Notamacropus eugenii: one gene and its partner. The protein of the gene in region 1 interacts with the protein of each later gene in a pairwise test. Links are inferred from orthologs where the notes say so. Each region holds a gene or a part of one and is shown on either strand. Other genes may lie near its edges.

Evidence for each region. The genes of interacting proteins can lie anywhere in the genome.
Region 2: the proteins of USP2 (region 1) and LHX4 interact in binary tests that used the Homo sapiens proteins (3 or more experiments, as listed by UniProt). The two-hybrid records come from large-scale screens. The link is inferred for Notamacropus eugenii from reciprocal best matches to the Homo sapiens genes USP2 and LHX4.

The regions. Positions count from the first base shown.
Region 1 is NC_092876.1:279,334,593-279,341,842, forward strand, and holds the start of USP2 (ubiquitin carboxyl-terminal hydrolase 2), read left to right. Parts: upstream 1-4,230; 5' UTR 4,231-4,443; intron 4,444-5,301; exon of another isoform or gene 5,302-5,495; intron 5,496-7,250. UniProt on the Homo sapiens protein: Hydrolase that deubiquitinates polyubiquitinated target proteins such as MDM2, MDM4 and CCND1. Isoform 1 and isoform 4 possess both ubiquitin-specific peptidase and isopeptidase activities.
Region 2 is NC_092873.1:465,382,668-465,390,041, reverse strand, and holds the start of LHX4 (LIM/homeobox protein Lhx4), read left to right. Parts: upstream 1-4,363; 5' UTR 4,364-4,507; coding exon 4,508-4,583; intron 4,584-7,374. UniProt on the Homo sapiens protein: May play a critical role in the development of respiratory control mechanisms and in the normal growth and maturation of the lung. Binds preferentially to methylated DNA.

The DNA of each region.
Region 1 (7,250 bases):
TATAGTCTTAACCAAACAAGAGTTAGAGGCAATTACAAAAGATAAAACAGACAAGTTTGATTACCTGAAACTGAAAAACTCTGTTCAGACAGCATTAATGCATCTCAATAAGAAGGGAAGTGATCAGTAGGGAAAACTTTGTATCAAATTTCTCTGATAAAGGTTTGTATCCAAAACATATAAAATATTATCTACACGTACAATACATACATATATACATATATGTATATATGTATATATATACATATATGTGTGAATGACTAATAGCTTGTTCCCAAATAGATAAATGGTCAGAGGATATGAACAAATTTCAAAAGAACCACCAAGTATTCACAACCATATGAAAAAGTATATCAGATCACTAATAGAGAAATGCACATCAAAATAACCATGAGGTTTCACTTCAAAACAAATTTACCAATTTGCAAAAAATGACTTTTTTAACAATGTCAATAGTCAGTGTTGGAGACCTTATGGAAAGGCAGGCATGCTAATATTTTATTGGTGGAGCTGTGAAATGGTACAACCATTTTGGAAAGAAAGTTGGAATCATGCAAACAAAGTGACTAAAATGTCCATACCCTTGGAACCAGAGACTCCATTACATGGTTTATATCATAAATAAGTTATCAACAAGAAAAAAAGTCCCTATATGTGCCAAAATATTTATGGCAACATTTTTTTTTGTAATAACTAAGAATTGGAAACAAAGTAGATGCCCATCAACTGGAGAATGGCTAAACAAATTGTGGTTCATGAATGTAATGAAATACATGTAGTTGTTCTTCAGTTGTTTTAGTTGTATCCAACTCTTCATGACCCCATTTTGGACAAAGATACTGGAGTGGTTTGCCATTTTCTTCTCCAATTCATTTTACCCATAAGGAAACAGGGGCAGCCAGGGTTGAGTGACTTGCCCAGGGTCATAGTAAGTGTCTGAGGCCATATTTGAACTCATGAAGACTCTTCCTGACTTCAGGCCCAGCATTCTATCCACTGAGCCACCTAGTTGCACATAATAGAATACTATGGTGCTGTGAGAAATGATATGTGTGTGAGGAATACAGAGAAGCATGGAAAGATCTATATGAACTGATCCAGAGTGAAGTAAGCAGAGCCAAGAAAACCACAAACACATTAACTACAATAATGTAAATGGAAAGAATAAAATCAAAAGTAAAAATGAACAAAATTATGAAGTCCAAATAGAACTTGAATGAAAAGATATGAGAAAATAGTCCCAAACCATCCACAGGTGTTACAAACTGCATTATTTTTAAGACTTTTTCAAGTACCAATCAACTGTGCTGAGTTTTACCCCTCTCTCTAAAAAATACTATTAACAAGTATGCTGAGTTTTTCCCCTCTCTCTAAAATATACCATTAATTATATAAAATAGCTCATAGGGAAGGGAAGGGGAGGAATACGTGGAATTCTGTGGTGATTGAAAAAAATAAAATAAGAATAAAAATTTATTTTAAAAATATTTTTTAAGAAGATCGGAACTCTAACTCTGTTTCCTTTCATTATACCATGTGGCCCCAACCCTGAATCAGAATTAATTTTTCCTCCCTCCTACCAAGAGATATGCTTGTAAAAGTTTAACAACTATCACGCCAGGAAAAAAAAAATGTACATACAATACACTTTTAAATTTAATCTACATTAACATTTTCTTTATCACTTCTTTACTATAAAATTAATAAAACAATAAATCAAGCCTTAATTTGTAGGGTTTGCTGCTTTTCGAGGTGTAAATGCTCACATTGAAAATTTAATAATCTGTTCTCTAGAGCTGGTGGGAGATGACTCCAGCACACCCCTGCCTCCCATCCAGAAGTTCCCATTTTGTATTCTCTAATAATAGCTGTCATTCAAAGATCAATTGAAAAAATTAAATATTTAGTATGGAAATGGCAAGACTTAAAACAGGAATGATCACTAGTTTCAATTATTTAAAAGGCTGTCATAGGGAAAGAGAAAGTATACTAACTGCAGAGGGTAGAACTTACAGATATGTGTGGAAATTATAGAGAGACAAATTTGAGCCCACCTTTTTTTGGGAAGAAGCTTCCAACAATTAGAGCAGACCAAGCATAGATAACATGGCTCAAGATAGTGAACTCCCTGGCATTTGAAGTATTCAAGAAAAACCAGAGAGGTCAATTACCTCTCCCACATTCCTTACAGGGAATTCCTATGGTTGGTCTGGAAATTGAAATGATGACCTAGAATTTAAGATTCTAGTCCATGAGTCAAGGATTTATTAAGTGTGTCCAGCACTGTGCTAAGAATTCTAGGATTCTATCTACCCTGGGTGACTTGTAACTTAATCCACTCAGTTCTCCAATGCTGTCCTAGTTGATACATCAGCCAGTAGGGAAGCACATGGTCCATTTTACCTGTTGAGACTTATAACCCAAATCATTCTTCACATTCCGTTGGATTTTTTCTCCCATCCACCGCTCTTCTTGCAACGAATCCTACAATACCACTGCATATAGAACTATACTCCCTCCTACTTCTTGTTTTGGGATCAATAATCAAATCTGCACTCTCCAACCATCTCATGGACCCATAACTAGCTTGAGATACAACTTCTATCCTGGTGGGGGGAGGGATTAAAGGGAGGGAGGTCAAAGGTCCTAATTAATAGCTCTACCATTTTTTCTAGAAATCCCCAACTGTATTTCACTTCATTCCTTACTGTCTAGACAGTTTCTCCATAACTTCCCCAACTGCCTAGCTGCCTCATACCATTTTTCCTTCTCACTCTCTCCAGTGCTGAAAGCACAAATCATGATTAAATCAGTTCTATCATTTGTTCCTGCAAGAGTATATGGCCCCATTCAAGATGCCTGTAATTAAAATGTTCCTCCCTGCCCACCACTCTGCTGTATATTTGCTCTCGCCTTTTAGAATGTAAGCCTGGCATTTTGCAGGAGACATCTGGTCCATCCCAGCCTGCCTACTCAATGATCCTTTAAACTGTCCTTTTACAGTGACTCTCCAACCCAGATTTTATCTGCACCTGGCCCACCCCAGGCATTCACCACTCCTTAATTGATCCATATCTTCTCACTGTCTTTTCTCATATACAAGTAACAATCTTACCCTCACTACTACATTGCTCAGACTCACTTAGAATCTAGCTGGCTTCTATTGGCCTCACAAATAAACCTTGCTACTTAGAATGAAAGAAGGATTGAGTGGTCAAATTCTTTCAAGGCAGACCCCCTGAATCCTTCATTTCCAGGTTCCCAGCAAGCCAAACCACATCATAATGTGTCAAGGCAAGCCAATTGATTCTTCTATTGGTTCCACATTCCTATGTCCTCTCAAACTAAAAAATCCTTCCTGGAACACCATTAACATATTTGCTATCCCCCCTAATTAGAATATAAGCTCCTGGAGGACAGAGACTGTCTTACTTTGCATTTTGTTCCCAAAACGCTAACACCAAGCAAGCCCATAATGATTCTTTCATTCAAAGCCGTTAGAAAATGCTGAATGAATGATGAAAACATAAATATCCAAATTCCTGGTTTCTGCCCCAGTCTTTTCCCATACAACTCCTGTTAACTGAGCTCCTCTCACAGACTCCCTGCCTCATTTTTCTGAGCACTCTCAAATGAACCCATTTCTATTACCCCGGTGGGGAGCAGTTTGGAGCCTTTCAGAAGCGAGAAGTGGAGGGCCGAGCTGAAGGGGAATGAGAGATCTTCCGACTGAGTGGAAAGTAACAGCGAAGGTTGTTGGGAGGCTGATGTATTTATTGCTAATGAGATGAATGACCTGAATCCATTCCAGGAAGCTTAGAGCTAGTCGGGTGGATGCTGATTGGACCACTGAACGCGAGGTTGGTTGCTGTAGCAATCTGCACCCGGGAGAATATTGGTCAAAAACTCAGATTTCACGGTTGCTCCCCCCCAAATAATTTGCAGAACGGGAGGGTTGGACTACATGGTCTTTAAGTTCATTTCTGACTCTAAATCATAACTCCTATGGATCCTCTTGCTCCTACACCTTTGCAACACTCTCTTCCTTTTCCTCCAGTCTCCACCCCCTTTCGCCCCGCGTGCTTCTCTTCCACGTGGCTCTGTTTACATCAGTTGCCTGGGAAACTCAGGCTGGGAGGAGCTCCATCAAGTCACAATAGTAAAGAGCCAATGGGTGCTCCACGTCTCAGTGACGCAAGGACGCACAGGGCGTGGCTAGGCCGTCCTGGAATGCCGTATGGCGATTCCCCGCTGGGTGGCGCTGTTCTCCCGGGGAGGTCTTCATTGGGGCCCCTGGCGGAGGTGGGGAGAGGCGGGCAGGAGCCGGGGCCAAGGAGCCCTCTGCGTCAGCTGTTGCTCACTGCGCCGCGCCAGTGTCAGGCGGGACTTACCCGCAGCTCCATGCCTGTTTTCGGCTTGGCACATCCACCCTTAGAGAACCAGGTAGGTGCCACCTGTTCGGGATTGGGGCAGAGGGAGGATAAGGAGCGACCTCCGCTGGGGCAATGCCCGGGGTGCCCCCGGAGCCAGAGCGGACCCCGGGGACGTGGGGGTGGGCACCCTGCGGGGCCAGGGCTCAGGCTCGGACACTCGTGGGGGGAGTGTCCGCCGTGCCAAGGCCGGCTCCTGCTCTGGGTACCAGCCCGGAGTACTGCTGCTTTGCCGTGCCCGGAACCAGGCTGCCCTGGGTGGCGTGTGCCTGGGTATATTTCGGAGGAGCGGGACGTGTGGTGTGTTGTAGCCTATTGTGACAAGAAGGTTGTGTGCCGCTCATTTACTGCCCCCCTGGAGGGTTTTCTGGGGGGGAGGGGGAGGGGAGGAGGAGGCGAGAGAAGAGAGGAGAGAGAGAAGAGACAGACAGACAGACGAGCTAGTGTGGTCTGACTGTCAGCCGGGGGAAGGCAGCAGTTCAGTAGTGGAGGAGAACTGCTGCCAATCTCAGACCGGAGGAGGTATCTTTATAACCGCCCCCTCCCCCCCCATCATCTAAAGCAGCAACTTAAACTTTACGTTAATAGTTATTCACGTTTTTATAGTGCTTTAAGGTTTGTGCTTTCCCATATTACTCTTCCCCACCTCGAATAGGACTGAGCATCCCCACTTCCACCTTGCTTTAGGTTTAAGGATGAGAGAGCTGGATCTCACTGGTACAGAGCTGAGACTGAGGATGGGGAGAAAAACTAGGAAACGACCCATTGCCTAGATTATACTGAGGCTTACAGAGTTGTGGGAGACCAAGGAAAGCTTGGAGAGGGATCAGGTGATTGGAAGTGCTGAAACTCAGCCCCTTTGATGCTGTAGACTCATGCCCCCTTGGGGTCAGGGAATGAGGACTGGAATGAGGACCTGAGTGCATCATCAGGACCCAGTGCTGAGTCAGTGGCATCAACTGGGACAGGGTGGAGACAGGTGCCTTGAGACACCTACACAAAGGTGGGCTACGACAAGGACTGTGAAACTCTTGGAGAGCAAGATGAAAAAAAAGGCCTAGAAAGGTGAGAAATGCCATTTTTTCCCCTCTATATCTAGTATAAAGGCAGAGCCCTATGAAATGGATCCATCAAGAGTAGGACTCAGTTGGGTATTTGCCTAGGCACCAGTGGGACCTTGTACTTTTCTCACTTTTTTAAGCCTAAAGGAAACAGCAGTGGTCTGAAACGCCTGGACAAACACTTGATGTCTCCTTGACTAAGGCATCCTGGGAATTTGTTCAGCCTACTTTGTATACCACAATGGTGGTGGGACCAATCCTGCCCTGGTTATGAGAGCCAAGGGATTTATACGTAGACATATAAAAGAAAGCTTTGGAGTTGCTTTTTAACTTTAGAAGCAAGCATGGCACTTAGGGTTGACAGACAGGACTCTTTTTTTTTTCTACCTAGAAACATGTAACCTCCAGATAATTTCAGTCCTATGCTTCCTTTCACCCCAAGCTACAACCAGTGCACTCTGCCACCTTTTCTCTTTCCCTTTCTTTTCATTGAATCCCTTTTTGTGCTGCTTCTTACTGTATCCTTCCCTGAGTTCTTTTAAAGTCACCCTTCTGTCTAGTACCTACTCATTAGGGACAGTACCCTCCCCCACCTTAGGTGGGCATAACACTGCCCCTTTAAGTCTCTCTGGATCCTGGAATGTGAGTGAATTGCTGTAGCCATCCCTCTGAGGTCAGATAAGATACTATATATATCAGAGCCAGTAACCTGAGCTCCGGATTACCCAGCCTGGAGTCGGGCTTCACTCCTCCACCTTCCACTCCATCCCATGCCCCGCTGGGGAAGGAGAGGCCCCCAGAGTCCCGATCAATCCTTTTCCCCTGGACACAGGTCAGTGACTGCCCCCACTATGCATCTAAACATACATAGGTGCTGCTGCCTGGTGCCTGCCCTTCTAGTAGGTCTGGGGGAGTTGGGGCAGGGAGGGGGTGGTGGGTATAGATGACAGATGATTATCTTATCTATCCAGCCAGGTCTAGTGCTGTGAACCAGGCCAAGACCTTAGGAGATGGAGAGCAAAGGAGATACAAGATCTGGCCAAGGAATGGAAAGAACCGGCTACGCAATAGACTTAGGGGACCTCTTCCTAAGGGTTTTCCATATTGCCTAAAATGTCCAGAACACTATTGTATGTTCATGGTAGTAGTGAAGCAAGTTTGGGAGCATTGAGGCAATGATTTGGGAGCACTAGCACCATTTTTGCTTTCTCTGGAAAATATAAAGATATGCTTCCCAACTAAGACACTACCGTGGACCCACATATGTACCTTCTTTTTCAATTATTCATTGTTAAAGCTTTAATCTGATCTCTGGGTCCTACTTCCTTACCTTCCCCACCAGGCTCCTAAGAAACTTGTAGGAAACATTAAGGGGGTTTCATTTTTCTGACTGATTGCCACCACCCCTAAAGGAGTCAGAGTTTGTTAATCATATGAGGGATAATGTGCTCACCCCTGATAGATATGCTTGCTAAAAGAAGGCTGAGAACAGGCTCAGGTTAGGGGAGGAGGTCTGAGAATAAACAGAGCCCTTGACCAATGAAAATATCAACTATACCATCCCCCCTCTCCTCTCTACCTGTGCTCCTTTTTCTGTCAGAACACCCCCAGATCTGATCTGCCTTGGACTGGCACTCATGCCTTAGTGCTTTCCTGCTTTCCCCAAAGAGATGAGCACAGTAGTTTGGGCCCCTTTCTTGCCCCCCACCCCACCTACCTTCCATAGAAGGCACTTTAGTCTGACCACATTCCAATCCCG
Region 2 (7,374 bases), on another chromosome or scaffold:
CCTCTTTTCAGAATCATATTTTTAAATGAGTAGAAAAAAGTAAATAGGACTCCAAAGGAGACTAATTATACTGAAACCTTTATCAAAATATCAAAAAGATTTTTAAAAGCCCTGCAGTAAATCATGTTGGGTCTTAAGAAGCTTAAGATCAAATGAGGAGGGAATAGGTATTTATTTATTACTTACTATACCAAGCACTGTGCTAAGTACTTTTCACAAATATTATCTTATTTGCTCCTCACAACAGTCCTGAGAGATAGGTGCTATTATAACTTCCATTTTACAGATGAAGACACTGAAGCAAGGAGAGGTTAAGTGACTTGCCCAGGGTCACACAGTAAGGGGTCTGAGCCTCAGATCTGAACTGAGGTCTTCCTGACTCCAGGCCCAGAACTCTATCCATTGCACCTTTGGTTGCCTCTGGGAAATTATATTAGCAATTGTCTCAAGCTATTTCTTCCATCCTTTCATCCTTTCCTTCCCCGCCACTGCCAATCTATAAAAAAAAAAAAAAAATCAACCTGTTTCCAGAAAAGGATTACAGTAATAGCTTTTTGGGGATAAACTTGAAAATTTTATATAATGGGGTGTTGATATGCACAGTCACTCCCTGTCCTCCCTCTTCTGCTCCCACTATTACAAAGCATCATTGCCTTATAGCGCATTGGAAAGTAAGGAACATTGAGTTTAGAGTCAGAAGAATTAAGCCAACAAAGAGACTGACTGCCTTGGGCAAGTCATTGAACCTCTGTAAAATGGGAATAATAATACCTGTACCACCTACTTCTTTAGGTTGTTCCAAGGCTCAAAAGAAAAATATATGGTAGCCATATAAATGAGAGTTTGTAAGGAAATTAATTTCTATGATTATCTATGGCGGCTGGATGTTAATGGTCTTCTTACATTGTCCTCCAGCCCTGAATGGGTGTGGATAATTTGGGAGATCACAATTAATAACCTAGTTCACTTGCTAAGAGAACAAATCACTGTGGAAGACAGACTTTCAATCTCTAATTGTCAAACTGCCTGCAAAACTATTGGTTTAGTCATTATCCAACTCTTCATAACCCCATTTGGGCTTTGCTTGGTAAGGATACTGAAGTGGTTAGCCATTTCCTTCTCTAGCCTATTTTACAGATGAGGAAACTGAGGCAAACAAGGTAAAGTCACTTGCCCAGGGTCACACAGCTAGTAAGTGTCTGAAACCAGATAGGAACTCACAAAGATGAGTTTTCCTGACTCCAGGCCTGGCTCTCTATGCACTGAGCCACCTAGTTGCATATTTCTTCTCACTGCATCGTCAAAAAATGGGGATAACAGGTGAAGAGTTAAAAAGAAACACTTTCATGTAGTAGATGGGACACTGGGCTTGGAATCTGGAAGACCTGGGATTGAATTTAGTCCTTAGATACTTAATAGCTGTGTGACCCTGTGCAAGTCACTAGCCAGTCTCAAATTCCTCATTTGATAAATAAGAGAGTTGGACTCAGTGGTGTCTGAGGTCACTTTCATCTCCAAATCTATGGAAATCCCACCAGAGCAAAGACTGTAGAAATTATTATAATAAAAAGTGAAAATAACAACTAATAATCTCTTTCTTAAAGTCAATGATGCTAGCCTACCATCAGATGCTTGAGCTCATGACACAGGCAAAGGTCGACAAAGGGATCCTGGCCGCATTAGTTGTGTGGTTTGTTTTTACGTTCAAGTTGGTCCAGGTAAATATTAGGTGCCTCCCTCAGACTAGTCTGAAAAAGATGACAGAATTAGTCTGTAGGAGGCGCCTTTCCAGGGCTGTCCCTCGCCATGGGAGGTCTACGTAAAGGAAGCCGCAGGGAGGCATTCTTTGATGCTAGAATAGGGTAAAGGATAAGAGACAAGATTTAGGGTCAGTGCGTGTGTTTTGTTTACTCAGGTGAAATACCTGGTGAAAGGGCTGCCCCAGGCGAACCTCAGGCAAACTCAGAGGGTGTGGCCGGCAGCTTCTTTCAAGCGCTGGTGATGATTTTTTCGCTTACAGAGTAGGAAATTTACCTTGGATTCAAAGACGTTTAACTGCCTACATCACTGCTGCCATCAAGCCTGGAGAGAGACAAGGGCAGAAGTTCTTAACCACGGATCCAGGGACTTGGTTTTTCTTTCTTAAAAAATTTCGGTGTAACTTGTTTCCTTTATAAATCTTTTATTTTCTGTATTTAACAAACTTCTGAGTAACAGTCCGTAGGCTTCACCAGACTGACTAAAAGGTTAAGAATTCCTGCTCTCGGGGTGAGGATTCGGGGGTTTGGACAGAAAACGAAGTGGGAGGTCTCACCTCCCTTTTTAGTTGGTCGTGGGCAGTCGCGTGCGGGTGGCGAAGTGGCAGAGAGGACTGGATCCACTAGGGCTTTAAGGGACGCCCCAGCTTGGACCCTTTGGCCAAATGGGATTGAAGTTCACGGAACGCAGGCATCTGGAAGAACCTGGTCCCTGGTCAGCTCCCAGAGCCCTAGGTGAAACTCCCGTCACCCTTCAGCTAGGATCCTAGCCATGTAGGGACTGACCACTGAACAGACCGAAAGAGAGCTTTGGGGAGTATTGTGTTAGAATCAGCCCTCGCCGAGTGATAGCGCATTTTACATCGATTTCAGGGCACTAGATGAAGTATCTTCGATTGTCTCGTCATGATATTAGAGTAGAATTAATTATGTTGCGTCGCGTTTTATCTTATTTACTTTCCGAATCCGCCTTATGAGGAATCTGTTTTTAATGTGTTAGTGTATATACGGTAAGTAAAAATAGAAATCCATGTGCTTATCAATATGATCGTTTTTCCTTTACAATTTTTTAGCTGGACGTATTTGTACGTAGATTTGTGTTATACCCAGAGGCAGAAACACACATGAAAGAACACTCATTTTTAAACCCTTGTTCGAGTTCCACTTTACAAAGTAAGCAGCTGCGATTCTCAGATACAAAAGGAAAAGAAAAAGATAGACGTGTTCCCGTCCGGAGAAAGGAGGGGAAACCAGGCTGGGATAGGAGAGGGTAGACGGGAGAGAAGGCGGGGGCGGGGCAGCCCAAAGCGAGTCCAGTGGTCCGCGGAGGGGAAGGCGCACGGTCCGGAGCTGCTGGTGGGAGGCAGATTGCGGCAGGCCCAAGACTATCTACCTCCTTTTAAATCGTGGGAGGGGTGTGTATAGGAGGAAAGGGTAGGAACAGGACCTTACCTTCCTCGTCCCACCCTGTCCCCAAGGACCCACAGTCTCTAGCTGCCATTCTCCAAGACCCGGCCGTCACCAGACAGCTCGACTGCCAACGGCGTGACTACGGCGTTCTGAGCCTGGCACCCTCCGCTGGGTCCCTGGGCCAGCCGCAGCCAGACCCCAGACAGGAAGGAAGAAACGACGAGACGCAGAGAATATCTAGGTCTGGGGATGGGGAACCACTGGGAAATGAATGGACCAAGAGGAAGGGGGCAAGAAGTGAAGGATGGACAATGCGAAATCCCTTCCGAGCAGGCTCCCGCAGGGATGTGGGTGAAAGAAAGGCCATCGTCGGGATGCTGGGCCAAACTGATCACTTTATAGAAAGGGCTTCCCAGTCTCTTCTCAAAGAAATGGAGGGGACCATAGATTGGTCTACCTGGGCACATAAATCTGGGGGTCCCTCGCAACCAACCAACCCTTCCCTTCTGGCTTCCTTCAGCCGCTAGGACCAAAAAACTCCAACCCAATCCAATAAAATAAAAACTATCTTCCATTTCTGAAACACCTGATGCCGCAGCAGCGAGGACTGCAATATTTATAGAACAAGGCTTGGGCCGGGAACCCAGGCCGGACCTGGGGGGCGGGGTTCCCAGGGAGCATTCCAGAGAAGCCCTCCGAGGCCCCACCTCTCCAAGCCCCAGAGGCCCCTCCCTAGCCCGAGCCCCAGCCTCGGCCTGGTTTACCTGGGTCCCTTTGGACGTTCCTTCTCGGCCTCAGGTTGCCCACATGATGTAAGGGGATTGGCTGAAGGGCGGGGCCTCCCTGCGGAAATCTACGTCACGCCGGCTCCTGCAGTGTGAATGAATCAAAACTGCCTCTAGGGACCAGCAGCTGAGCTGGGAAAAGGGGGGGGGGGGGGGGGCGGGAGATGGAGGGAGTGGAGAAGGAGCAGGGGGGAGGGAGAGAGGAAGGGGGAAGAAGGAGGAGGGAGGAAAGAAGAAGGAGGGGGAGGGAAAAAAAGAGCCAGAGCTGCAGCAACAGCGTCGCCTTAACCCGGGATACACACTAACCCGGAGAGCAGGATCAAAGGGATTTGAAACAGTCTAAAGGGTGGAAGGGGGGGTAGGGGGGAGTGCCAGTCTACAAGTCCTTCTGGAGGGGTGAAGAGACCGGCTTTCGATTGTGACTTTGCTTATTTCGTTTGGGGTTTATCTTTTCTTTTCTTTTTTTTAATTTTGAAATTTCTGAATCTAGTCAGAGAGAAAGAGTGAGAGGGGAGGGAGATTTCCATAGACAGCTATTTCCCATCTCTGCCCAAGATGATGCAGAGCTCGACCGTCACCACGGAAGGGTCTGTCAAGGGGCTCCCGGACATCCTCGGTGTACCGATGCAACGTAAGACAACCCCCCCTTTTCTCCCCTCATTGATTTAATAATAAAGAAAGCTGGCAGCCTCGGAGGCTGCATGGTGCAGGGAGGGTAACGAGCAGCCACGGTTATGAGAGGAGCTTGGGATGGAGGGATCCGGGTGGGAGCTAAGGATTGGGGAAGGTTGAGGCAGAATGGAGAGAGGGAGGAGTCTGGGGATGACATTACGGAGGGGAAGTGGCAGATGGGGGAAAGTGGGGTGAGGGGTCCGGCTTTGGGAGCTAGAGGCCAAACAAGAAAGCTCTGTCCTTGGTCTGAGCTGGGGACAGGCGGTGGAATCCCAGCTAGCTCGCAGTTTTTCAGAGGCCAGTGGAGAAGGTGCTGTTTGGGGATACCTGGGGAGGGAGAGCCAAACAAGGCCAAGGGTGGTGGGGGGGGGGCGGAGAATGCCTTCGCCTTGTATCTCCCCCAAAGAGGCGAGATGCGGAGCTCGAAGGAGCCAGTTTGTGCAACTTCACCCCGACTGGCGAGAAGTTGGAAGACTTCCTTCTTCCCCTCCTCCCAGCGCAACTCCCAAGAGGTTCCTGTGGCCCTCTGGGGAGGCCGGGAGCTGACCCCAGGAAGGGTCCCAGGAAAGGGGCTGGGAACAGAAGGAGATCTCTCTCAGGCTGTTTGGCTGCGATGCCTGCAGCCTGAGCCGCTGGAGACTCCTCAGCGTTAGGGAATCTGTCAGTCACATTCCTACCCACCAAGGAATGCTGGGGAGGGAGAGTCTGAAGCGTGAAGTTGCGAGTTAGGGCTTCTGCCTGCGAGCACAGGAACGTTACATCTAGGTAGATCTCGTAGGATTTGATCTGAAAGGGACCTTAAACACCGTCTAGTCCAACCTACTCATTTTACAGATGAAGAAACTGAGTCCAAGAGAAGCGGAGTGCTTTGTCCAAGGTTACAGAAGTATTAAGTGGCCGAGCCAAAATTCAAATCCAGGTCTCCTGATTCTATACAGTTCTTTTCCTACCGGACCAAGCTTTGAGAGAGAGGTCGCACAGGGATATATAAATTTGTTTTTACGATTAACTTGATTCAGTCTATGTTTCTTATGCTCTGGAGCTCTGTATTTATCTGCGCCGGTATTCAAAAGTGTACACGTAATGTGGTACCGGGTGCTGACACTCCGACATCTAAAGTGCCTGGACCGGTAATGGGGGCTCTGTAACTGTGCGCCCGGGCGAAGCTGGCTTCCCTCTGCCACGTTTTGTTGATGCAGTACAAACGTTCTCTAGGTGAGGTTCACACACAGGTCGCTTACACGTCTGTGCAGAGACAAATGGCTTCTCTCGCTACAGAACTGTGCTTATGCCCGCGAGATATATATATCAATGTCGTCTACTCTCTGGCGGTTTATTTTAGCTAAGGACCAACCAGCCAACCGACCTGTCTTCTTTTACCTGCCACTCAGGACTTGCACCTGCTAAGCGTAACCTCTTTGGGTCTGGTTTGGGTTTCTGCACCCTGGAGAGTTAGCTTGAGGGCACACTTTGCCAGTGAGGCAGTCTGCTTTTCCCTCTTCCTCCTGAGTTTTTGAAGAGTAGGGGTAGAGGACCCTGGCGTTGAAAGAAAGAGAGAAAGAAAGAGAAAGAAGAAATCACTATTCCCTTATTATTCTTTTCCTGCTGATGGCAGTTATTGGTCTTCCTTCTAGTAGGCACCTATCTGCAAACACCTCTTCTGTCACACCTTTAGGAGTTTGCTTTTGGCTAGAAGTATGTATGTTGAAATTGCCACCTTTCTTTTTCTTTCTTTCTTTCTCTCTTTCTTTCTTTCTTTCTTTCTTTCTTTCTTTCTTTCTTTCTCTCTCTCTCTCTCTCTCTCTCTCTCTCTCTCTCTCTCTCTCTCTCTCTCTCTCTCTCTCTTCCTTCCTTCCTTCCTTTCTCCCCCCCATCCTTCTGCTTCTTCCTCAGCCCCTCCCCCACCCATATATTTCCTATCTCCTTCACTCTCCCTCCAAGTGTTTGGAGTTGGAACTCTCACGATTTCTCAGCATGTGAGTGTGTTTGGGAAGGGGACAGTTTGTCCTTCCCGACTGTGTTTTAGTGCGTATGTTCTCCGCTGGTGTGCTTGTGTGCGTGTGTATGGTGATGATGGTGGTGGCAGTGGTGACGGTGGCTGGGGGAATAGTTGTCGTGTTGTGTCCACGAGTTGTGTATGCTTGAACGTGTCTGGATTTCGTGTATTTTCAGATACTCAGTAAGTTTCCTCTCTCAGTCCACTGTCCGAGAATTCCTGCTGTTTTGGGATTCTGGTCACCTAAAGCTCCCGGAACGCACTATGAGATACTAACTTCGATTCCCATGTTGTTTAAAGGTGGGAAGTCAGCATGGGTGGAGGCAATAAGAAGCCAGAGGGAAAGGAACTTCTGCCTTCACACATTCGAGGCTCAATTGCCGGGGGGCTACTAGACCAAAGAAGGCTGATTTATCTAATATCTGTCTGTCGGTCAGCCTGTCTGTACCGCTTTTACTGTTTGTCCTTAGTGACAAGGAGGGAGTCCTGGTTGCTCCTTCCCTCAGTTTCAGCTCCCCTATAGATAAAGCTTTGGGTCTTCATCTAGTCTCTCATTTCAGCTTTGTAGCTCTCAGTCAGAAGGGGATGGGAGGGGAAAGGGAAAGGGAAAGGTCAGGACGTGCCGAAACGGATCATTTAGGACCTCATATGTCAGGTTTTTTCTTCCCTCTGCACCCCTATCCTCACATTTCCTTTCCCCTGGGTGACACCGTTAACTCATAGCGTGGTTTGTACGGGGAGGGAGAGGAGAGGG